Linked DNA regions of Saccharomyces cerevisiae S288C. Changing the gene in region 2 together with the main gene of any one other region gives a genetic interaction. Each region holds a gene or a part of one and is shown on either strand. Other genes may lie near its edges.

Region 1 (7,679 bases), on a different chromosome or scaffold from region 2:
ATTGAACAAATCAGAGATTTAGGTAATAGTCTAGAAAAAGCTCATCCTACTGCTTTCAGTTGCGGTAACGTAATTAGAAGAATACTGGCTGTTTTGAGGGATGAAGTAGAAGAAGACACTATGAGCACAACTGTCACATCCACATCCGTTGCTGAACCTTTGATTTCCTCTATGTTTAATTTATTACAGAAACCGGAGCAACCTCATCAGAATAGAAAAAATAGTTCAGGGAGCTCTAGTATGAAAACCAAGACTGATTACCGTCAAGTAGCCATTCAGGGTATCAAGGATCTTATAGATGAGATAAAAAACATTGATGAAGGTATTCAGCAAATTGCTATTGATTTGATTCACGATCATGAGATTTTATTAACTCCCACACCTGATTCAAAAACCGTATTAAAATTTCTGATTACTGCTCGCGAACGTAGTAATAGAACATTTACGGTTTTAGTTACAGAGGGGTTCCCTAATAACACCAAGAATGCACATGAGTTTGCCAAAAAATTAGCACAGCACAACATAGAAACCCTAGTAGTCCCAGACTCAGCTGTTTTTGCTTTAATGTCCCGTGTGGGTAAGGTTATTATCGGCACTAAAGCCGTTTTTGTCAATGGGGGGACTATCTCGTCAAATTCAGGTGTATCATCCGTTTGTGAATGCGCCCGAGAATTTAGAACCCCTGTATTTGCTGTTGCAGGTTTGTATAAGCTTTCTCCTCTATATCCGTTCGACGTAGAGAAGTTTGTCGAATTTGGTGGGTCCCAACGTATATTACCTAGAATGGATCCAAGAAAAAGATTAGATACAGTTAATCAAATTACCGATTATGTTCCGCCTGAAAATATTGATATCTACATTACAAACGTCGGTGGGTTCAATCCAAGTTTTATATATCGTATTGCGTGGGATAATTACAAGCAAATTGATGTGCATTTGGATAAAAATAAGGCGTGATGATGTGTCTTTTGTACATTACTCATGAAAATAAATAAAAATCTTGTAGATCAAAACAATTTTTTTATTATTAATTATTAGTATATAATCAGAATATTTACGTATCCTTGAATATGTTAAAAGACTAATACATAAAGAGCATCTTAGCATTAACTTTTTACTTCTCTACAAAGTCTGGCAATTTGACTCATTTTTTTTTTTTAGTTGAGTGTCTCCTCGTAATGCCATCTTGTCGCTTTTGCATAATAGAAAAACAGGAAAACATTGAAAAAATAAAAAAATAAGGGAAATATGTATCGTATACAAAAATACAGCTAAAGCTTGAACTGAAGTAGAAAATGATACCAAAGCTTATAGTTTTTGGAGGCAATGGATTTTTAGGTAAAAGAATTTGTCAAGAAGCAGTGACTTCGGGCTACCAAGTCGTTTCTGTGTCAAGGTCCGGTAAAGCTCCTCATAGCAATGAATTAAATGATAAGCAATGGATGCAGGAGGTCCAATGGACCGCTGCTGACATTTTTAAGCCTGATTCTTACCATGAATTATTGAATAATGCTACTAACGTAGTTCATTCTTTGGGAATCCTCCTAGAAAATGAAAATTATAAGCAAACTCTATCCAAATCCCCTACATATGATTCAAAATCACGCCTTCTATCTTTTGGTGCAGGTCCAAATCCTTTAAAAAAAAGCAGTCCTTATTTTACTTATGAAATGATGAATAAGCAAAGTGCTATTATTTTGGCAGATACATTTAAACAAAAAATCCTAAAGAAAAGCAAAAAGGAGCAAGAAAAAGCAAATCAAAGATCTTTTACGTATATTTCCGCCGATAAAGGTTTCCCATTGATTCCTAGTGGCTATATTAATTCGAAAAGAGAGGCGGAGATTGAACTAGAAAAAATGCAGAGATATTTCAGGCCTATTATTGTGAGACCCGGTTTTATGTTCGATGAGCACAGAAATGCAATTGGACCACGGTCTTTTATTCATACTGCACTTGAACTACTTTACTGCGGTAACAAATTTCTATTGAGAAATAAGCTGCAGCTTTTGAACGACTTGATTAGGCCAACAGTATCCACTCAGCAGGTAAGCAAATCCGTCCTGAAAAATATCGAAAACCCAGATTTTAAAGGGGTAGTTACACTTGAGGAAATACTTAAAGCATAATGATTATGCCATTATTATATTTATTAATCTATTTTTCTCTTTTATTTACAAATGAAAAGTACTTAACTATATACAGCTTGGTATAATTTTAAAATGGTAATAACAATAATATGCAATGCTAACGGCGCAAAAAAGCCTGATATGCCTCTTGGTTGATTTGAATATTACCTACAGTTTTCATATGCTTTTTACCCTCTTTCTGTTTCGCCAAAAGTTTTTTCCTTCGTGAGACATCAGAAGCATGCAGCTTTTGGAGAACATCTTTTCTTCTTGCCTTAATTGTTTCTCTAGCTATTATCTTGTTATTAGCTCGGGCCTGTATAACGACCTCATATAATTGTGATTTAACATACTCTTTAAACTTCTTCACCCATTCTCTACCCACTCTCTCTACTTCCGATTTATGAAGTACTCTTGACAAGGCATCAATCGCATTTCCATTAACCAAGAGTTGCAGTTTTACAACATCAGAAATTCTATAGCCAGCATCCTCATAATCTAAAGAGGCAAATCCTCTGGACACCGATTTTAATTTACCAAAAAAGTCATCAACTAGATGCGATAGCGGAAGGTAATATTTTAACATCACTTGTCCATTGGTGTTTAGGTATGTTATATCAATTTGTTCTCCTCTATTACTATCGCATAAGCGTATGACACTACCTAAATATTCCTGGGGCAATGTCATAACTGCCTCTATAAACGGTTCATGGAAAGCAGCAACGTTCACCCTCTTTGTTGCTCCGTCTGGAAACTCATCCGGATTTGTTATAAGCTTTTTCTTACCATCGGTAAACTCCACCAAATAAGGAACTGTGGGTTGAGTAATGATCAATTTCGAACCATACTCTTTTTCTAGTCGTTCACGAAAAACAGATGCATGTAAAGATCCTAAAAAGCCCAATCTCCAACCTTGACCCAAAGCATTGGAGGTCTCACGTTCCAAAGTAACTGACCTATCGTTGAGGACAAGTCTACTCATATCATCATCCATGGCTTTGAATTCAATCCCATCAGCCGGGAAAGCACCCACAAATACCATGGGTTTTTGTTCTTCAAATCCGGGAAGTACTTCCGTTTCATTTACTTTACTTAAATGCATTATAGTATCTCCAATTTTTGCTTCTTTAGAATCCTTCATTCCCAGCACTAGATAGCCAACCTGTCCTGTCTTTAGCGTACCTGTAGAGGTTCTGTCAGGATACATGATTCCAATATCTTTGACTTCGTATTTTTCTTTTGTCTGAGCACAAATAACCTTGTCATTTTTACGTACAGAACCATCAACAATATTCACTAGAAGAACCGCTCCTAAGTATGCGTCGTACCAAGAATCCACTAATAATGCTCTGAAGGGTTTATCAGGCCTCCCCGTTGGTGGTGGTATACGATCAATTATAGCCGGTAGTAACAGTTCCTCTACATTTAATCCTGTTTTAGCACTTACTCCGATTATATCTTCCTCGGGGAGCTCAAAGTTATTCACTATCTGATCCTTTACCTGTTTAACATCTGTAAAATTTAGATCAATTTTGTTTATTACTGGAATTAATTTCAATCCTAAACTGAAGGCTAAATAAAAATTAGCAACCGTCTGTGCTTGTATGCCTTGTGATGCATCAACCAAAAGAATTGCTCCCCCACAAGACGCATATGACCGTGAAACTTCACCTCTGAAGTCCACATGTCCTGGCGTGTCAATTAAATGTAAAAGATAGTTTTTTCCGGTCCTCTTATCTTTATAAAACATCGAACATGTTTGCGCCTTTATAGTAATACCTCTTTCTCTTTCGACTTCCAATTTATCCAAAACTTGTTTATTTCTCGCATTGGGATCGATGACATGCGTTATTTCCAGCAGTCTGTCACTTAAGGTTGACTTCCCATGGTCAACATGGGCAACTATAGAGAAATTTCTGTAATTTTCGAGAGGTATTTGCTCGATCTGTGCTTGTAACTTCTGTGCAGGGGTAGTCGTATGGTTATATCGTAAGAAATATGCGTGTCGTTTATAACACCGTATATGTCTCACTGGCCTAATTCTAAATTTCAGCATTTTTATGTGCAACTAGTTTCCCATATTCATGGCTCTTTTTCAATGGTTGCGGCTACAAATATAGGCGAGTTATACTTGCCCTCGTCTATTATTCAACTTTTTTATTTACATCAAAATAGCAACATAAACATACGGAGATGATGAGAGAAAAAAGAAGACAAAAGGTGTGTCTTAATTCAGTTAAATGAAATTAAAATTGATAGTAAATGGTTGTGAAGCACCTGATGATTATAAATTGCTAAGAACTACTATCAATACAGTTGCTTCGCTACGAAAGACGGCTATCTTAAGATTTAATAGTGAAAGATTGACAATAATATCCACTCCAAAATCATCACTCAACAGCAGTAACAACGGTACAATATTACGAGGGGATACTGGTCAGCTTTGGTGTACCATTCCTCATGATGTATTCAGATTATATACAGTTATATCAGCTCGCGAGCTCAATACAATAACAATGGAGTGTAATTGTGATTCTTTATTGAGTGTGTTTAAAAGGTATGATCGAGTAATGAACCAAGGATCTTCCTCTAATATGACTATAAAACTACAGTCAATGCCAGAATGGAATACAAATAACGGAACACTTTCAGGAGGAACAGCAGGAGGCGTAGATACAACCTCAAAACCGAACCCCATTTGTGCTCTAGGTATAACATTCGAAGAAATTGTACATACTAGCGGCCCAAATGACGCTATAGTTATGAATGGGGGAGTGGATGAGCACAATGGTTTACCAACCACAGTAGGCACAGGAAATCTACTCGCAAGCAATAAGGTTATCATGCATTCGTTCAAAGTACCTGTCAAACTATTATTCCGAGCACAAGATACGCGAATACAAGAGCCAATGATTAACTATATTCAACTGATGATGTACAAGCTGCCACCAATATCGGGCGAGTTTGGCTCCGCCTTCCACGGGTTTATTAGACGTGTTGAACGGTACAGTAATGTCAACCACATTCATTTAATGGGAGTCAAAAAAAAGGAGCATGGAAATGAAGGTGATGATGTAGAACTTAAGATAATTGTGAATGAATTAGATTGGCATTTGGAAATATGCTGGAATGGACCCTTAGACTCTGTGATACAACGCCAAGAAGGGCTCACTGACAATCCTTCCCAAAACCAGCACATCGACACAGACGGCCGGCAGGAGGAAGGATCTCTTCCGATTATCGAAGCGGATAAACCGATGTCTTCACTATATACCAATACTAGAGATCGAGAGATGGAAGAAAATATCCGCTACGATGAAGATTTATTAAGAATTGAGGATAGCTCGATCGCAGATACGCGGGGAAACATTTACACAGCTGATACTAGCGGTGATACTGAATTTAATGACATATCCGTTATGGTGGAAAAGGCTGAACAGGAAAGTTCGTCCACACATGAAGTAATCATCCGTTGCAAAGATTGGAAGGTGTGTTCCAAGTTATACGCTGCATTTGAAGAAGTTGTTTTGGCGATTTCTCACGACGAATCCTGCGTATTCCACTGTTCGTTGGATCGTGGTAGCTTGGAAGATAGCGAAGATGTGGAAAAACCAAGGGAAAGAGGACAAATCATATATTATATAGCAAGATCGAAGGGCTTGTAAACCCTACAGCGGTACATTTCTTTGCTACGTTGCTAAGGAAACTCTTTAAATCTGACATGGCTGAGAACTGCAGAGTTGCAGAGTTGCAGACTATCACATCCGTACATATGTATAAAAAAATCCGTGCTTTACATACTAACTGCTTTTCTTTTTTCCGTTCGAAAAAAAAAAATGTCGTGAGGTTGTCGGAAACCTCAGAAAAAATAGATAGAACAAAACAGCCTTACGAACGGTATGTTGCATTTTAAAGGCTACATGAACTGCACATTAAATTTGCCACTGTAATAATCTTCCATATCCCCATACAAAAACTACGCAAATATGGTACGTAATGCCTCATTAGGATTTTAAAATATGAAAAAAATGGACGTTTCAGCGAGGAATGAATAACAAGAAATAGCTAATTTGAATATATTACTGGTGTTTCATATCTATATATACCGCAGAAAAAGAAATAAAACGCAATATATCTTTAAACTGGCTCCACCCTGAGAATATGATAGGAAACTTTTTAAATTTGAGTTCTGTTACATCAAAAACGTAATTGCTTGACACAGATTTTTCGAGGGCAACAGCGTGGACTTAACATAATGTCGAGTTTAATAACAACATTTTTTGACGGAGAGTTAAAAAGGCTTTGAGAAAATAGCAGAGTGAAGTTTATTTTTAGCATCCTTGCTGATACGCCAAATAATTCAAAAATTCACTATACTAACATGGTCATTAATTTTTAATATTAATATTATTTATTTAGGCTAAAGTTCATGGTTCTCTAGCTCGTGCTGGTAAAGTCAAGTCTCAAACACCAAAGGTTGAAAAAACCGAAAAGCCAAAGAAGCCTAAGGGTCGTGCTTACAAAAGATTATTGTACACCAGAAGATTCGTTAACGTTACCTTGGTTAACGGTAAGAGAAGAATGAACCCAGGTCCATCCGTCCAATAAGAAAATTAACAGTTGTGGAAAAGGAGCTTAAAAGTAACAAGAAACAAAATAGCAGTCATGCCATCTTTACTTCAAGATAGTTTTTGACTTGTATTTGTATTTCCGTTATGCGTTTTTTACTTTAAATATAAAGCAGTATTGAAATTATGTAAGTAGTGTTAACTATAAATTATTTCTTTAGGACTTTAACTTCGCAAAATTATGCTATTCATATTATCGATTTACTTCTTTGCTGTCTTGGTGTGATGCTTTTATTAATAAGGAGGATCTTGCCGTACCTAGGGTTGGCAAACGTTTTTCTAGTTGTTTTTGAATGGGCGCTTCATAATGTGGCAATGAAAAAAAAAAAACTAGAAAAAAACTGCAATGATCTTGACGATGACATGAAGCCTCCTTTTAACAAAATCCATTGAGGTCAACAAGCATCACCAGAGACGCCTATTATAAACTTTATAAGAGAAATACCAGTTATACAATAATGTCTACTGGAAGCAGTGATAGAAAGGATGACGTCAAATTATTGGAACTGCTGAATTCTATAGATGAACAGTTTTTAGTGCCATACAAAAAGCCGGAAGACTTGCGTAAAATCTCCTCTACTACCAAACTACAAGGTTCCACCCCAACTAAGGAACTAGACAAATTAGCCTCTGTATTGAAGGCACATTGCACAAAAATAGGTATTGTTTGCAAGCCAGGAACTTTTGATAACAATCATAAAGTTGTGATTACCGAAATCCAAAATTTTAGTAGGCCATTATTCTACTTACTAAGTTTATTCCCTTTGTTTTACAATAACAAGGATTGCCCCAAATACTTTACAGACCAACTGGATGAAAGTACGCTACAATTGCTCGATGGCTTGAGAGATTTCATTGCCGAATTACAAGAAAGATTGAAAAATGACGAAAATGCATCTCTAGACAAAGAAAGGTTAACCTC
Region 2 (7,477 bases):
TTTATTTCTATCAACCCAGGTGCACCTGCTGGCGGTTCCTTCAACCAATATTTTGTTGGATCCTTCAATGGTACTCATTTTGAAGCGTTTGACAATCAATCTAGAGTGGTAGATTTTGGTAAGGACTACTATGCCTTGCAAACTTTCTTCAACACTGACCCAACCTACGGTTCAGCATTAGGTATTGCCTGGGCTTCAAACTGGGAGTACAGTGCCTTTGTCCCAACTAACCCATGGAGATCATCCATGTCTTTGGTCCGCAAGTTTTCTTTGAACACTGAATATCAAGCTAATCCAGAGACTGAATTGATCAATTTGAAAGCCGAACCAATATTGAACATTAGTAATGCTGGTCCCTGGTCTCGTTTTGCTACTAACACAACTCTAACTAAGGCCAATTCTTACAATGTCGATTTGAGCAACTCGACTGGTACCCTAGAGTTTGAGTTGGTTTACGCTGTTAACACCACACAAACCATATCCAAATCCGTCTTTGCCGACTTATCACTTTGGTTCAAGGGTTTAGAAGATCCTGAAGAATATTTGAGAATGGGTTTTGAAGTCAGTGCTTCTTCCTTCTTTTTGGACCGTGGTAACTCTAAGGTCAAGTTTGTCAAGGAGAACCCATATTTCACAAACAGAATGTCTGTCAACAACCAACCATTCAAGTCTGAGAACGACCTAAGTTACTATAAAGTGTACGGCCTACTGGATCAAAACATCTTGGAATTGTACTTCAACGATGGAGATGTGGTTTCTACAAATACCTACTTCATGACCACCGGTAACGCTCTAGGATCTGTGAACATGACCACTGGTGTCGATAATTTGTTCTACATTGACAAGTTCCAAGTAAGGGAAGTAAAATAGAGGTTATAAAACTTATTGTCTTTTTTATTTTTTTCAAAAGCCATTCTAAAGGGCTTTAGCTAACGAGTGACGAATGTAAAACTTTATGATTTCAAAGAATACCTCCAAACCATTGAAAATGTATTTTTATTTTTATTTTCTCCCGACCCCAGTTACCTGGAATTTGTTCTTTATGTACTTTATATAAGTATAATTCTCTTAAAAATTTTTACTACTTTGCAATAGACATCATTTTTTCACGTAATAAACCCACAATCGTAATGTAGTTGCCTTACACTACTAGGATGGACCTTTTTGCCTTTATCTGTTTTGTTACTGACACAATGAAACCGGGTAAAGTATTAGTTATGTGAAAATTTAAAAGCATTAAGTAGAAGTATACCATATTGTAAAAAAAAAAAGCGTTGTCTTCTACGTAAAAGTGTTCTCAAAAAGAAGTAGTGAGGGAAATGGATACCAAGCTATCTGTAACAGGAGCTAAAAAATCTCAGGGAAAAGCTTCTGGTTTGGGAAACGAAGGAACTCCAATCGGGAATGAGGAGAGCACAAATAAAGCTAAAAATGGAAATAAAAAGCGGAATAAAAATCGAAACAGAAATAAGAAGACAGAGACAAAGGAACAAAATGAACCTAAACCTGTGACTGGAGGGGAAGAAGTGAGAGTCGAGAAATCTCAAGCGAAAAACAGAAGGCGGAAAAACAATAATGGAGCTAATAAAAAGAATACCCTACACTACTCAAAGGAAATTAATGTAGAAGAGCGAAAACAAATCGCAAAAAGGCAAGAAGAAATCGAACAATGCATTCACACCTTATCCGATTTTAAACTGTTTAAAAAGGGTAAGCACGTTACCTCATATGGCTATCGAATCTCCCCCATGACAGACTCCGGTAAGATTTCTTTGAAAATTTTATTCAACATACCTTTGGATTATCCAAAGGCCCCAATAAAACTAACGATGAAAAGTAATGAAGAAGTTTCCTCTTACATGGACACCGTGATAGCGAATTTCAACTGGAAAGCCCGTCAATTGGTTAAGGAGGACTGGAGGATATTATCTCAAATAAACTATTTGGTTAGTGAGTTAGAAATATTGAAAATGGAAAATTATAAACAAATTGATAAACTACGTAATAGCTTTTACAAAACCATATAAATATGAGCATAATAAAAAGGGAGAATATTAACTATTATCAAGTATTAAAACTATTCTTTAATAAAGATGGCGGCGGCACCCATACCAGTACCGATACACATACTAACAACCCCGATTTGATCCTTTTTCAGTTCTCTTAGTATGGTAGCTACTTGCCTTGCGCCAGTACAACCCAAGGGATGGCCTAACGCGATTGCACCACCTCTTGGATTTACTTTATTCAAATCGATGCCCAGTTTATGGATGCAGTATAATGCTTGGGCCGCGAATGCTTCATTTATTTCAAAAATATCGATATCTTGGACTTGCAAGCCAGTAGCTTCCAGGACTTTTGGTATGGCGTATGCAGGGCCCACACCCATGATTTCAGGGGGAACCCCCACTGTTTGAAAATCGATGTAGCGACCTAGCACAGGCAGATTTAACTGGTTGGCTACGGACCTGCGGGCTAACAAGACACCTGCCACACCATCGGAGACCTGGGATGCATTGCCCGCAGTTGTGGTTCCTCTGTCTTTGATAAAGGCAGGCCTGATGCTTGAAAGCGACTCCGCAGTGACGTTAGGGCGTGGCCCTTCGTCCGACTGGCAAATTGAGCCATCTGGTAATTTTATAGGTAAAATTTCATCTTCGAAAAGCCCCTCATTTTTCGCCTTGTAAGCTTTTTGATATGAATTCGCAGCGAACTCGTCTTGATCCTTTCTACTGATCTTGAAATTAGCGGCAACATTCTCATTAGTAATGCCCATTGGTATTAGACATTTCTTCGCTTCTCGGTTTTTTTGCAGCTCTTCAGAGGAGATCATGCCCAAGGGATTGACGTTTTTGTAGTTATTGGTCATTGATTCCACTCCCAGCGCCAAACCAATATCAATTTGCCCAACCTTAATCTTGTTGGCAATATCGTTCACCGCCGTTAAACCTGAAGAACATTGTCTGTTTAAAGCGACAAATGGCGTCGAGTAGGGAATCCCACTTGCCAAGCATGCAGCCCTGTGTTCTGTAGCACCGGCTCCAACATTGAGAACATTTCCACAGGCAACTTCTTCGATTAAGTTCAAATCAGCCCTCAAAGGTTCCGGAAACCTCCCGATGAACTCATTGAGAAAGTTGTATAATAAGTAGTCTGTGTTTACATCTTTGAAGGCACCTTTAAAACCTTTACCGATGGCAGACCTGTTAGCAGCCACAATAACTACATCTTCGGGTCTTTTCTCCAGCAACGAGTTCTTCCTCTTCGATTCACCCTTACCCATGGCGCTCTCCACCAAATGATCCTTGATACTTTGTAGTCTTTGAGACATTGCTTTTATGTAGTGTTATATTCACTCTGTACTCAGAGCCACAAGAAATAACCATTCGATTTCAATAGAACTGAGATGCAAAAGTATACCCTATTTATATCTCTTCTTTCTAGTAAAACTCCAATAAATTTGAAACCAATAGAGGGAGAAAGGAAAAAAAAGCTGCGGTGTTAATACTATTATCCCCGTTTCCCTTTGATAGCGCCTTACACGGCGCTACCACATCATTACCCTCCTCATGTTGACGCGTCAAGTTTTTTTTCTTTTTTCGCTATTTGTGGCATAGGTTCAAAACTAGCAAATTCTTGATCTTTTGAAGATTACATAGTGATGATGATCGTGACACAAAAGCAGATAAAAAAATAGCACAATCATCAGCGATGGACTCTTCCCCGAACAAGAAGACGTACCGCTACCCTCGCAGATCGCTGTCACTTCACGCGCGTGATAGGGTCAGCGAAGCCCGTAAATTGGAAGAATTGAATTTGAACGATGGGCTGGTTGCCGCTGGCTTGCAGTTGGTCGGTGTAGCGTTAGAGAAACAAGGTACAGGATCACATATATACATGAAACAGAAGAATTTCTCAGCTAATGACGTTTCTTCGTCACCAATGGTTTCCGAAGAAGTGAACGGATCGGAAATGGATTTTAATCCGAAGTGCATGCCTCAGGACGCATCACTCGTCGAAAGAATGTTTGATGAGCTTTTAAAAGATGGAACTTTTTTTTGGGGGGCTGCTTATAAGAATTTACAAAACATCTCTCTACGAAGGAAATGGTTATTGATATGTAAAATCCGTAGTTCCAATCATTGGGGGAAAAAGAAAGTGACTTCGAGCACGACATACTCTACACATTTGGCCACTAATGAACTAGCTGAAAACGCACACTTTTTGGATGGCCTAGTTAGAAACCTTTCAACAGGTGGCATGAAGTTATCGAAGGCTCTATATAAACTAGAAAAATTCCTGCGAAAGCAAAGCTTTTTGCAACTTTTTCTCAAGGATGAAATTTACTTGACGACATTGATCGAAAAGACTTTGCCACTCATATCCAAGGAATTACAATTTGTTTATCTTCGGTGCTTTAAAATACTGATGAACAACCCACTGGCGAGAATAAGAGCACTACATTCTGAGCCTTTAATTCGCTGGTTCACCGAGCTTCTGACGGATCAAAATTCTAATTTGAAATGTCAGTTACTTTCTATGGAGTTACTTTTATTATTAACGTATGTTGAGGGTTCCACGGGTTGTGAGTTGATATGGGACCAGCTTTCCATATTATTCACCGATTGGCTAGAATGGTTTGACAAAATCCTTGCGGATGATATTGCAATTCATTCATCCCTTTATTTGAACTGGAACCAATTAAAAATAGACTATTCGACAACTTTCCTACTGCTAATAAACTCCATACTGCAAGGTTTCAACAACAAGACTGCACTAGAAATTTTGAATTTTTTGAAAAAGAATAATATACATAACACTATCACATTTTTAGAACTGGCCTATAAAGATGATCCTAATAGTGTCGTGATCATGGAACAAATAAAACAATTCAAATCCAAAGAATCTGCGATATTTGACTCGATGATAAAAACTACCAACGATACGAATTCGCTTCACCCAACAAAAGATATCGCAAGAATAGAAAGCGAGCCTCTATGTCTTGAAAATTGCCTGTTATTGAAGGCAAAAGATAGTCCCGTAGAGGCACCAATAAACGAGATTATTCAATCGCTGTGGAAAATCTTAGACTCTCAAAAACCATACTCAGAATCTATTAAACTATTAAAATTGATAAATTCTTTGCTGTTTTATCTCATAGATTCCTTTCAAGTGTCAACGAATCCTTCTTTTGATGAAACCTTGGAGTCCGCAGAAAATGTGGATTATGTTTTTCAAGATTCTGTTAATAAATTGTTGGATTCTCTACAATCTGATGAAATTGCTAGAAGAGCGGTCACAGAAATTGATGATCTTAATGCTAAGATTTCTCATTTGAATGAAAAATTAAATTTAGTAGAAAATCATGATAAAGATCATTTAATAGCAAAACTAGATGAAAGTGAATCTTTGATATCTCTGAAAACCAAGGAAATTGAAAATCTGAAACTGCAGTTGAAGGCAACCAAGAAAAGACTAGACCAAATTACCACGCATCAAAGGTTATATGACCAGCCACCTTCATTGGCAAGTAGCAACTTGAGTATTGCCGGCTCGATAATAAAAAATAATAGTCATGGAAATATCATTTTCCAAAATTTAGCAAAAAAGCAACAGCAGCAGCAAAAAATTTCTCTGCCCAAGCGTTCAACTAGTCTACTAAAAAGTAAAAGAGTTACGTCCCTTTCATCATATTTAACTGATGCAAATAACGAAAATGAGTCCCAAAATGAATCCGAAGATAAATCAAAAGACTCATTATTTCAAAGATCTACGTCAACCATTAATTTTAATATCCCTTCTATGAAAAATATTACTAATATGCAAAATGTCTCTCTAAATTCGATACTTTCAGAGTTGGAATTTTCAAATAGCCTAGGAACACAACCTAATTACCAATCGTCTCCCGTGTTGTCTTCGGTTTCTTCTTCACCAAAACTTTTCCCTCGACTTTCCTCAGATAGTCTTGATAATGGAATCCAACTAGTACCTGAAGTTGTTAAACTACCTCAACTTCCACCGCCCCCTCCTCCACCTCCCCCTCCTCCACTTCCACAGTCTCTTTTGACTGAAGCAGAAGCTAAACCGGATGGTGTTTCCTGTATTGCAGCACCTGCACCGCCACCCCTTCCAGATCTATTTAAAACTAAAACTTGTGGCGCCGTTCCACCACCACCACCGCCACCGCCTTTACCCGAGTCCTTGTCGATGAACAAAGGCCCCTCCAATCACGATTTAGTTACTCCTCCAGCTCCACCTTTACCAAATGGTCTTCTTTCTTCCTCCTCAGTGTCTATCAATCCAACGACAACCGATTTAAAACCACCTCCAACTGAAAAGCGATTGAAGCAAATCCACTGGGATAAGGTGGAGGATATCAAAGACACACTTTGGGAAGACACGTTTCAACGCCAAGAAACAATCAAAGAATTACAAACTGATGGTATATTCTCTCAGATTGAAGATATTTTTAAGATGAAAAGTCCGACTAAGATTGCAAATAAAAGGAACGCAGAATCCTCAATTGCCTTGTCTTCAAACAATGGCAAGTCTTCCAATGAGCTGAAGAAAATTTCATTCTTATCAAGAGATTTGGCTCAGCAATTTGGTATTAATTTACACATGTTTTCCCAATTATCTGATATGGAATTTGTTATGAAAGTATTGAACTGTGATAACGACATTGTCCAAAATGTTAACATACTGAAATTTTTTTGTAAAGAAGAGTTAGTAAATATACCAAAAAGTATGCTTAATAAGTACGAGCCATATTCACAGGGTAAGGATGGTAAAGCAGTAAGTGACTTACAAAGAGCTGACAGAATATTTTTGGAGTTGTGTATCAATTTAAGATTTTATTGGAATGCAAGATCAAAGAGTCTGCTGACATTGTCAACATACGAGAGAGATTATTACGATTTGATTTTCAAGTTACAAAAAATTGATGATGCAATTTCACACTTAAATCGTTCACCTAAATTTAAAAGTTTGATGTTTATTATCACGGAAATAGGCAATCATATGAATAAAAGAATTGTTAAGGGTATCAAATTGAAGTCATTGACTAAACTTGCCTTTGTCAGATCCAGTATTGATCAAAATGTATCATTTTTGCATTTTATTGAAAAAGTCATAAGAATAAAATATCCTGATATATACGGTTTTGTGGATGATTTGAAGAACATTGAAGATTTAGGTAAAATCTCACTAGAACACGTTGAATCAGAGTGTCATGAATTTCATAAAAAAATTGAGGATTTAGTTACTCAGTTTCAAGTAGGAAAGCTATCCAAAGAGGAGAACTTAGACCCCAGAGATCAAATTATTAAAAAGGTCAAGTTTAAGATTAATCGGGCCAAAACAAAAAGTGAATTATTGATTGGTCAATGTAAATTAACTTTAATAGATTTGAATAAACTGATGAAATATTACGGTGAAGATCCCAAAGATAAAGAGAGTAAAAACGAATTTTTCCAAC
Region 3 (7,679 bases), on a different chromosome or scaffold from region 2:
CAGAATCCAATTTTCGAGATCATTTCATTGTTGAATTCTTCACCATCTATATTATTAAACTTTTTAAGAATTTTACCTGAGGAAACCTTAGACATTGCATCTACTTCCTTGACAGAAGTGGAATTCAATTCCAGAATTCATGAACTAATTGATCCGATAGCAGAAGATGTATTGAAATTCCTTGTATCATGCATAGACCTATTACAAAATACAGACGGGAATTCCAGCTCATCTATTTCATTAGAACAAATTTTACGGTGTTTGAACTCTTGGTCGTATGAATTCCCTGTTGAACAGTTGCTAACCGTACAACCCTTAATAAATCTCGTGTTTGAAACTATTTCCAATGGTAATGAAAGTGACATGGAGGCATTCGATTCCGCTATTGATTGTCTCTGCGTTATCCTCAGAGAAAGCAGAGATACTACTAATGAGCAGTTGATTTCTGCTTTATTTCATCAGTTAATGCTTTTACAAGAAAAACTATTGCCTACTCTGTTCACAGACCATCCTTTGAACGATGAATATGATGACGATCTCCTAGAAGGTATGACACGATTATTCGTAGAAGCTGGCGAGGCTTGGTCAGTTGTCATTTCTAAAAACCCCGATTTTTTTAAACCAATGGTTTTGGTATTATTGATGTTGACCTGCAAAAATGAAGACTTAGATGTCGTTTCCTATACTTTCCCCTTTTGGTTTAACTTCAAACAAAGTTTAGTTTTGCCAAGATATCAAGAATCAAGAAAAGCTTACTCTGATATTTTTGTTAAATTAATAAATGGTATAATTACTCATTTACAATATCCATCAGGCCAGTTTTCATCTAAAGAGGAAGAAGATAAATTTAAAGATTTCAGGTATCATATGGGCGATGTGTTAAAAGACTGTACTGCAGTGGTGGGAACTTCTGAGGCTTTATCGCAACCACTAATAAGAATTAAGTCCGCAATAGAAAACAACAATAGCTGGCAAATAATGGAAGCCCCATTATTTTCCCTGAGGACTATGGCTAAAGAAATTTCGTTGACTGAAAACACTATATTGCCAGAAATCATTAAAATCATTTGTAACCTTCCAGAGCAGGCCAAGATTAGGTATGCATCAACATTAGTTCTTGGTAGATATACCGAATGGACAGCCAAGCATCCAGAACTACTAGAAGTTCAATTGCAATATATTTTTAACGGTTTTCAACTGCATGAGGGTTCATCGGATATGCAAAGTATAATCACTGCATCATCACATGCATTAATGTTCTTCTGTTCGGACTGCTCTAAACTATTAGTTGGGTATATTGATCAGTTGATTAATTTCTTCCTCAACGTGCAGAGTTCGATTGATATTGAGTCACAATTTGAACTATGTCAAGGATTAAGTGCAGTAATAAATAATCAGCCAGAGGCCAAAGTTTCAGTAATATTTCAAAAGCTCGTAGATGATAATTTGCGACAAATCGAGGCTTTGATTCCTCAATGGAAAGCAAATCCAACGCTCTTGGCTCCACAGATTGCTGATAAGATTGATTTGCTATATGCGCTTTTTGAAGAATTGAAACCGAGATACAATTATCCTCAGCAAGGATCGGAACCTTTACTCCCCAGGATAGAATTTATTTGGAAGGCATTAAGAACTCTGCTAGTTGATGCAGGTGCAATGACTGATAGTATTATCGTAGAAAGAGTAGCTAAATTGCTACGCAGAATTTTTGAGAGATTTCATGTATTTTGCGAGCCAATATTACCTTCTGTTGCCGAATTTCTAATCCAAGGTTATTTAACGACTGGATTCGGTTCCTATCTGTGGTGTTCTGGTTCCCTTATTGTTATATTTGGTGACGATGAATCATTCCCCATATCCCCGAGTCTGAAAGATGCTGTCTGGAAATTTGCCCTCTCCCAATGCGAGACGTTCATACTGAATTTCAACAAGTTTGATAAACTTCAATTAAACGATTATCATGAGGCAATAATCGATTTTTTCTCATTAATTTCAGACTTGATAATGTTTTATCCTGGCGCATTTTTGAATTCAACAGAGCTTCTAGGCCCCGTACTGAATGTTGCCCTCGAGTGTGTTAATAAGCTTGATAACTACGATGCTTACATATGTATCTTGCGTTGCTTAGATGATATCATATCCTGGGGGTTCAAGACTCCACCGATCTCAACAGTGTCCATCGAGATTGTTCCAGATGAATGGAGGAAGCAAGTTATTAACGAAGTCGTGATAGCCCACGGTAACCAATTGATATTAGTGTTATTCATCGGGCTGGTTACTACTTTTGAAAACACCGCTCATTCAGATGCCATCAGTTGTATTGTAAAATGTTTAAGGATATTGACAGAGGCAAACAACAACGATGCCACTATTTGCATCGATTGGATTTACAAAGTGGTGGAACAACTTGGCCAAGTAACCCTTAATGAAAGAGATAATTTGGCGAAGGCCGTGGTTGAGGGGTTGAATTCAAAGGATTACAGAAAGGTGAGGGAAGGAATTAGGGCGTTTGTTGGATGGTATTCAAGAAAGAATATCAATTCGAGGTTTGAATAGTCATTTAATAAATAGCATATTGTTAATCTGCACAGAATGTATAAAAACAAAATAAACAATTTAATAAAGATAGAACTTAAAGGTAATTGAAGTAGAAAAAATTAAGTATTAAAATATTGTAATTAAATATAGAATTGTTAAGAAGAACAAGGAGAAATAGTGACATATGATAAACATCTCTTCACACATTCTGGTGACTCAATTTTCTGAGTACATCAGGATATGCCCTAAAAATCTCATCAAACCTATGAGGGTAAGAATGATGGAAGACCTCCGGGTCATTACCAAGAGCAACAAAGAAAGTTGCAGTACCGGATCTAATGGCTTCTGTTGCAATGTTGCAAATCTGTAAAGCAATAACAAATGAGAATGCCATTAGGGCGCCGTTGTAAGCGCCGTTCGAATTGTATTGAGGCGAGGTAAACCTTAGATACAAGAACGTGAACAAAGCGGTCATATAACTAGCAAACATTGAAAATAGACCCAGTGCAATGTTAATTAAATTATCATTGATTAGGGCGTCCATTCCCTTTTCTCTTAACATATACCAGGTTTCTTTGGCCGCTCTTAAATACGGTTTACCATAAAGAGCGATGAACGAGTATGCATAATGATTGAAATACTCGGCGAGCCACTTCAGAAAGCCGATAATCCAGTCAAACACCATAAACAAAATCTGGATGGCAATTTGACCGCCACCGCTGGAGGTAACATCGTGTCTGATCATTTGCAATATTTGTCTCAACAGGTCGATCAAAGCGACTAGCAAGGACCCAAAGCAAATGGAACCGAACGAGTAAGTCATGGCTCTCTTCAATGCTCCAAATGCGGGCCACCTTGGCATTCCTTGGTCAGACTTTGACATATAATACCAGCTGCCAAAGACGCCAGAAATAACACAATGTATGACGTTTCTTATTACTTCAGAGATATAATAGCCGCAGAAAAAAACCACAACCAAAACACCAATCAATTTGGAATGCGAACAGCTGCCACCAGAAACGTCACAGCCGCCATTCGAGCTATTAGGATCGTACTTTATGTACGTAGCCACAATGACTGCTGAGAAGAGAAACCCAAACGCACTAGCAACTAGCGCTCCAACAAATGAAACAAAGAAGATCTGTGGGCATTTCTTCATGGCATCGACGACGACTTTCAATACCGCCACAGAAAGGGGAATTCTAGACCTCATACCCCAGTAGCACCACGCGGTCATGAACGTGAAGACTAAAAACACAATACCTGCAGACCAGTACCTCAAAGACATGTACATGATGGCAGTCCCAAGAGAAGCCACTAGGTTGATGACCATACCGCAATATATAAACTGCTTCGGAAAAATTCGACAAAGTGTGAGGCCCAAAACGGAGAATACTAGGGCAATAATGCACACGAAAACTAGCAGGATGGCAGCATTGGTGTTCAGCGTACCAGTATTCACACCATCGTATATTCCGGAACCCGTACTGCTATAGGTTTGGGACCACGCTCTTAAGGTTATGGCAGCAATGGCGATGAATCCGCCTACCGTGCATAGGAAAAAAATGGTAAATGGCCAATCGTTCCACCTGGGCTTGTTGTCATTTTCAGTAGGAAAGGCCTCGTCGAAGCTCCCTATAGGAGCCCCACTCGTTTTGGAATTTAGATTGTAATATTGATCCTGTCTAAAATGGTACGGCGTCTGGCCATCGTTGACATTCGCCGCGGCAGAGTTCTCGGAAGAACTGGGCGGCCTATGGTTGGGATCATATGCTGGAGGAGGTTGCGGAGGCCTCTCGTATTTTTCATTCAATGGCATGACGTATTAATGTACCGATAATTATGGTCACTATTGATGGCCCTAATCGGAAATATGCACCTTCAAGTTTTTTATAATGCGCAATTAAAAAAAGTAAGAAAGGAATATAGAAGCATTCAATTGCTATGATTACCAATAAGTAGCGATTACGACTGAACTACATTCAACGAATATCCGCATATCAATATATATATAAGGGCAAGCTACGTATAAGGATATATATGTGATGATAATGTTATATATAGCTGGCAATTACGCCATTACGCAAACAGAAAACCCCTTAAACCCCTCAAGGATCTACCGAAGGAAGAATCCTGTTAGAAGGGAACATACCAACCACAAAAAAAAAGAAAAAAAAGCATTCTGCAGTAATTAGCCGTAGTGGACTTTGTTTTTCTTTCTGCAAATGGCCGTGCGGTGTCGGGCGGGGTCTCTCACTCAGTACCATTACGTGTGATAACTCCGCTGGCGAGGTGCGCCGCTCCCTGCAGGCTCTCCGAGAGGAAATCTCTTCGCGTATGCTTATCCTTCATCAAGACGTCTTGGTAAGGACAACATTGCTCTACAGGATGTCGCCGCGTATGTCGCTCGAAGGGTAGTGAATGGCTGCATGTAGTACATAATTTGCGAAAAACAGTGGGCTTGCCAAAATCTGCCTCAGGTGACAAGCCATTTTTCCAGTGGGATGATCTACTCGTGTGTAAGACATGTCGAAACGCACGCTGTTGCATGAAAAGTAGTCGTACGGTTGTATGTGTGGTGTACGGGTGTAAAAGTAGTCAAGCGTATGGCGGTAAGCAGCGATTCAGCAATTCTATATCTGAATAAAGTGAACTTTTGTACCATCTTTAGTAGCCAGTTGATTCATTTTTTTCTGTCAGGTGCGGCCCATCATCGAAGTGGGTTGATAATCTGGGTAATTATATAAACATTTTGATCATAAAAAAGAACTAAAAAAAGGCTTCAAAGTAGTCGCGCCGCGAGATTGCCTCGACTTAGCATTAATTGTCTTTGTAATCATCGAAAAGAGTGGAAAATTCAGATTGATTAATCAACTCTTCCCAGCCTGAGTTATAATTTGCCCAAAATTCATCTGTCAGCATCTGAATGATCTCTGATTGACTCTTTGCATGGTTCTTAGTTTCACCAGGCGAGGGTAACATTGGAATTATTGAGGGCGTGGGCGTTGGAACTGCAAGGCTGAGATCCCGCTGCCTATCACTCACAATTTTAGCTTCTGATGATGGATTATCGCTCTGCGGATCTAGTTCTTGTTTGATTTGTGCTAGCCATGTTTCCTCGGTCAACTTTCTGAATTCAATAACGTTGCCAAGAATAGTCCTATAGGTCCTTTCAATAGCTAGCTCTATCACAAATTGTGATGATCTATGCATTGTGCGTATTAATTCTTTATTTCCGACCGTGAACAAGCGATCGAAGATTGACGAGTACAAGCTCATTGCTGTACCTAAAGATAGATCCTTGTCTAAAGGAACAGTCAATTTCGTCAAATCCGACCATCCAACTTCCATATCGTTGGATAGACATAGTCCATTTTCGAAAAGCGTCAACTTAAAGTAGATCAGAGAACAAAAAAACACCAATGTTTTGGAAAAAAGCCCTGCCGTGAGGCTCATTGATAACGCCATATGTGGCGGTAAGTGCGGGTTGGAGGCTTCGAATTTCTCTGGGTAAAGTGCTTTGTCGATACGATAGCATCGAATTGTGGTATTCACAATGATGGAAAAATTGATCAAAACCAATTGAAACGTATTATTTTTGGATTCTATGTTTCTGACTTTCAGCACAGAATGTATTAGTGCATAAAACGACAATAATAGTCCGACTGCCATACTTAAAATTCTACTTTCCCTTAATGGAACTTCTTCCGATATATTTTCACCTGTGTAATGTCCAAGTGGACCAAGTTCTTCTTCTACAAAATTGATAATTCGCTTGGAATAAGCTTTCAAATCCGGGAATTTATCTCTATCATAAAGAGTTAACAACATTGGCCTTGTAAGTTTTAAATATCTTTTCAGCTTCCCCTCATATGTTTTACTTTTACTATTCAATATGCAATGATCTTGGTTTTCGTCTAGATAAAATTTGTTAATCAATAAGGGTCTACCAACGTTACAAGATATGTTATAATCGATAAATATTGCCATTAACCAGACATTTTCTAAACTTTCGATGCTACCCATAAAAACCTCATGTTCCTTGAAAGTTTCTCTAATGTTTAAATGCAACCCTATTGTAGTAACCGTAGTAACTAAACATTCATTTATATTAACCAAATCGGAGCCATCTCCACCGAATGAATATGTTTCACGATGGTAGTAGAAAAGTATTAACATTTGTGCACGCTCAATGTAGAACACCTTAGCGGTGGAGGCCCCCTTTAGTAAAGTAAAGAACTTCTCAATTGGGGTTGGGACATCTGTATGGAAGTATTTCAGACATAGGATTAATAGTATCACAGCAGCTTTGTAATAATTTTTCTTTGGATTGGATAAAATATAAACTATGGATCTGTCACCTTCCGCCTTTACCTCTTTTTCGGGCATGAAATAATCTAAAAAGTCTCTTCTAACTTTTGCCTTATCAAGAATCACGTTGATCTCATTGCATGCTCCATCATTAAAGAAATCATCTAAAATAGACAAAGCTTTGTTATATGATGGTAGGAAACGACATATCTGTTTGATTAATGGATCTGGCTGCCAATCCGACTCATCCAAAAGGCCTAGTTCCCTGCACATCGTTTTTTGGTTGTTTTGCTTCCATTTATTTCTTTCTACTTTAACCTTCGCCCATAATTGTTTATATTTTTCAATGAACCCCCAATTACTATTTGCAATTTGGGTTCTCATAGAAGTGGGGCCGTATAGTGTTGATCTTCCGGAATGTTTACTTTGTAGGTAGTACCGGTCGGCATATGGATTTATTACACCATCGGGTAATGGAGATGAAGTTTCAGTAGAACCTCTACCTACACTAGTGCCTAAAGGAGGGAAATTTGGCGAAGTGTACATGGAGCTCGCAGACGAATTAGTGTTTTTTTCAGCTTCTAGAATACGTATTTTGTTTTCTAGTTCTTCAACTTTCTTAAGTAAATCGGCGTTAGGATAGGGACCATAGGTAGCTTTCTTTTCGATGTTTTTGTTGAATTCTTCAGCATATTGACAGGTTGTTAAGTTTCTAGAAATGCATGTAGAACACATAGGTTTTTGCTGATCACAACGAAGTTTTCTCCTTCTGCAAAAGCCACAAGATTTTATAAGCTTGTTTCTCTTCTTACCGCTAGTAGAAGTTGGTG

What was found.
Region 1: mutations in POT1 (region 2) and MEC3 together harm fitness more than expected from each alone (negative genetic interaction), as found in Saccharomyces cerevisiae (2 studies listed by BioGRID).
Region 3: mutations in POT1 (region 2) and PNS1 together harm fitness more than expected from each alone (negative genetic interaction), as found in Saccharomyces cerevisiae (2 studies listed by BioGRID).

The regions. Positions count from the first base shown.
Region 1 is NC_001144.5:711,595-719,273, reverse strand, and holds MEC3 (Mec3p), read left to right. Parts: upstream 1-4,369; coding exon 4,370-5,794; downstream 5,795-7,679. Other genes in the region: GCD7 (translation initiation factor eIF2B subunit beta), read left to right, coding at 1-957; ubiquinone biosynthesis protein COQ11, read left to right, coding at 1,296-2,129; GTPase GUF1, read right to left, coding at 2,248-4,185; 40S ribosomal protein eS30 RPS30A, read left to right, coding at 6,116-6,118, 6,549-6,737; YLR287C (uncharacterized protein), read left to right, coding at 7,216-7,679. UniProt on the Saccharomyces cerevisiae protein: Component of the checkpoint clamp complex involved in the surveillance mechanism that allows the DNA repair pathways to act to restore the integrity of the DNA prior to DNA synthesis or separation of the replicated chromosomes.
Region 2 is NC_001141.2:38,114-45,590, forward strand, and holds POT1 (acetyl-CoA C-acyltransferase), read right to left. Parts: upstream 3,332-7,477; coding exon 2,078-3,331; downstream 1-2,077. Other genes in the region: beta-fructofuranosidase SUC2, read left to right, coding at 1-870; SMU2 (Smu2p), read left to right, coding at 1,320-2,027; formin BNR1, read left to right, coding at 3,712-7,477. UniProt on the Saccharomyces cerevisiae protein: Responsible for the thiolytic cleavage of straight chain 3-keto fatty acyl-CoAs (3-oxoacyl-CoAs).
Region 3 is NC_001147.6:634,202-641,880, forward strand, and holds PNS1 (Pns1p), read right to left. Parts: upstream 4,358-7,679; coding exon 2,738-4,357; downstream 1-2,737. Other genes in the region: mRNA transport regulator MTR10, read left to right, coding at 1-2,556; YOR161C-C (uncharacterized protein), read right to left, coding at 4,920-5,066; YRR1 (Yrr1p), read right to left, coding at 5,359-7,679. UniProt on the Saccharomyces cerevisiae protein: Probably involved in transport through the plasma membrane.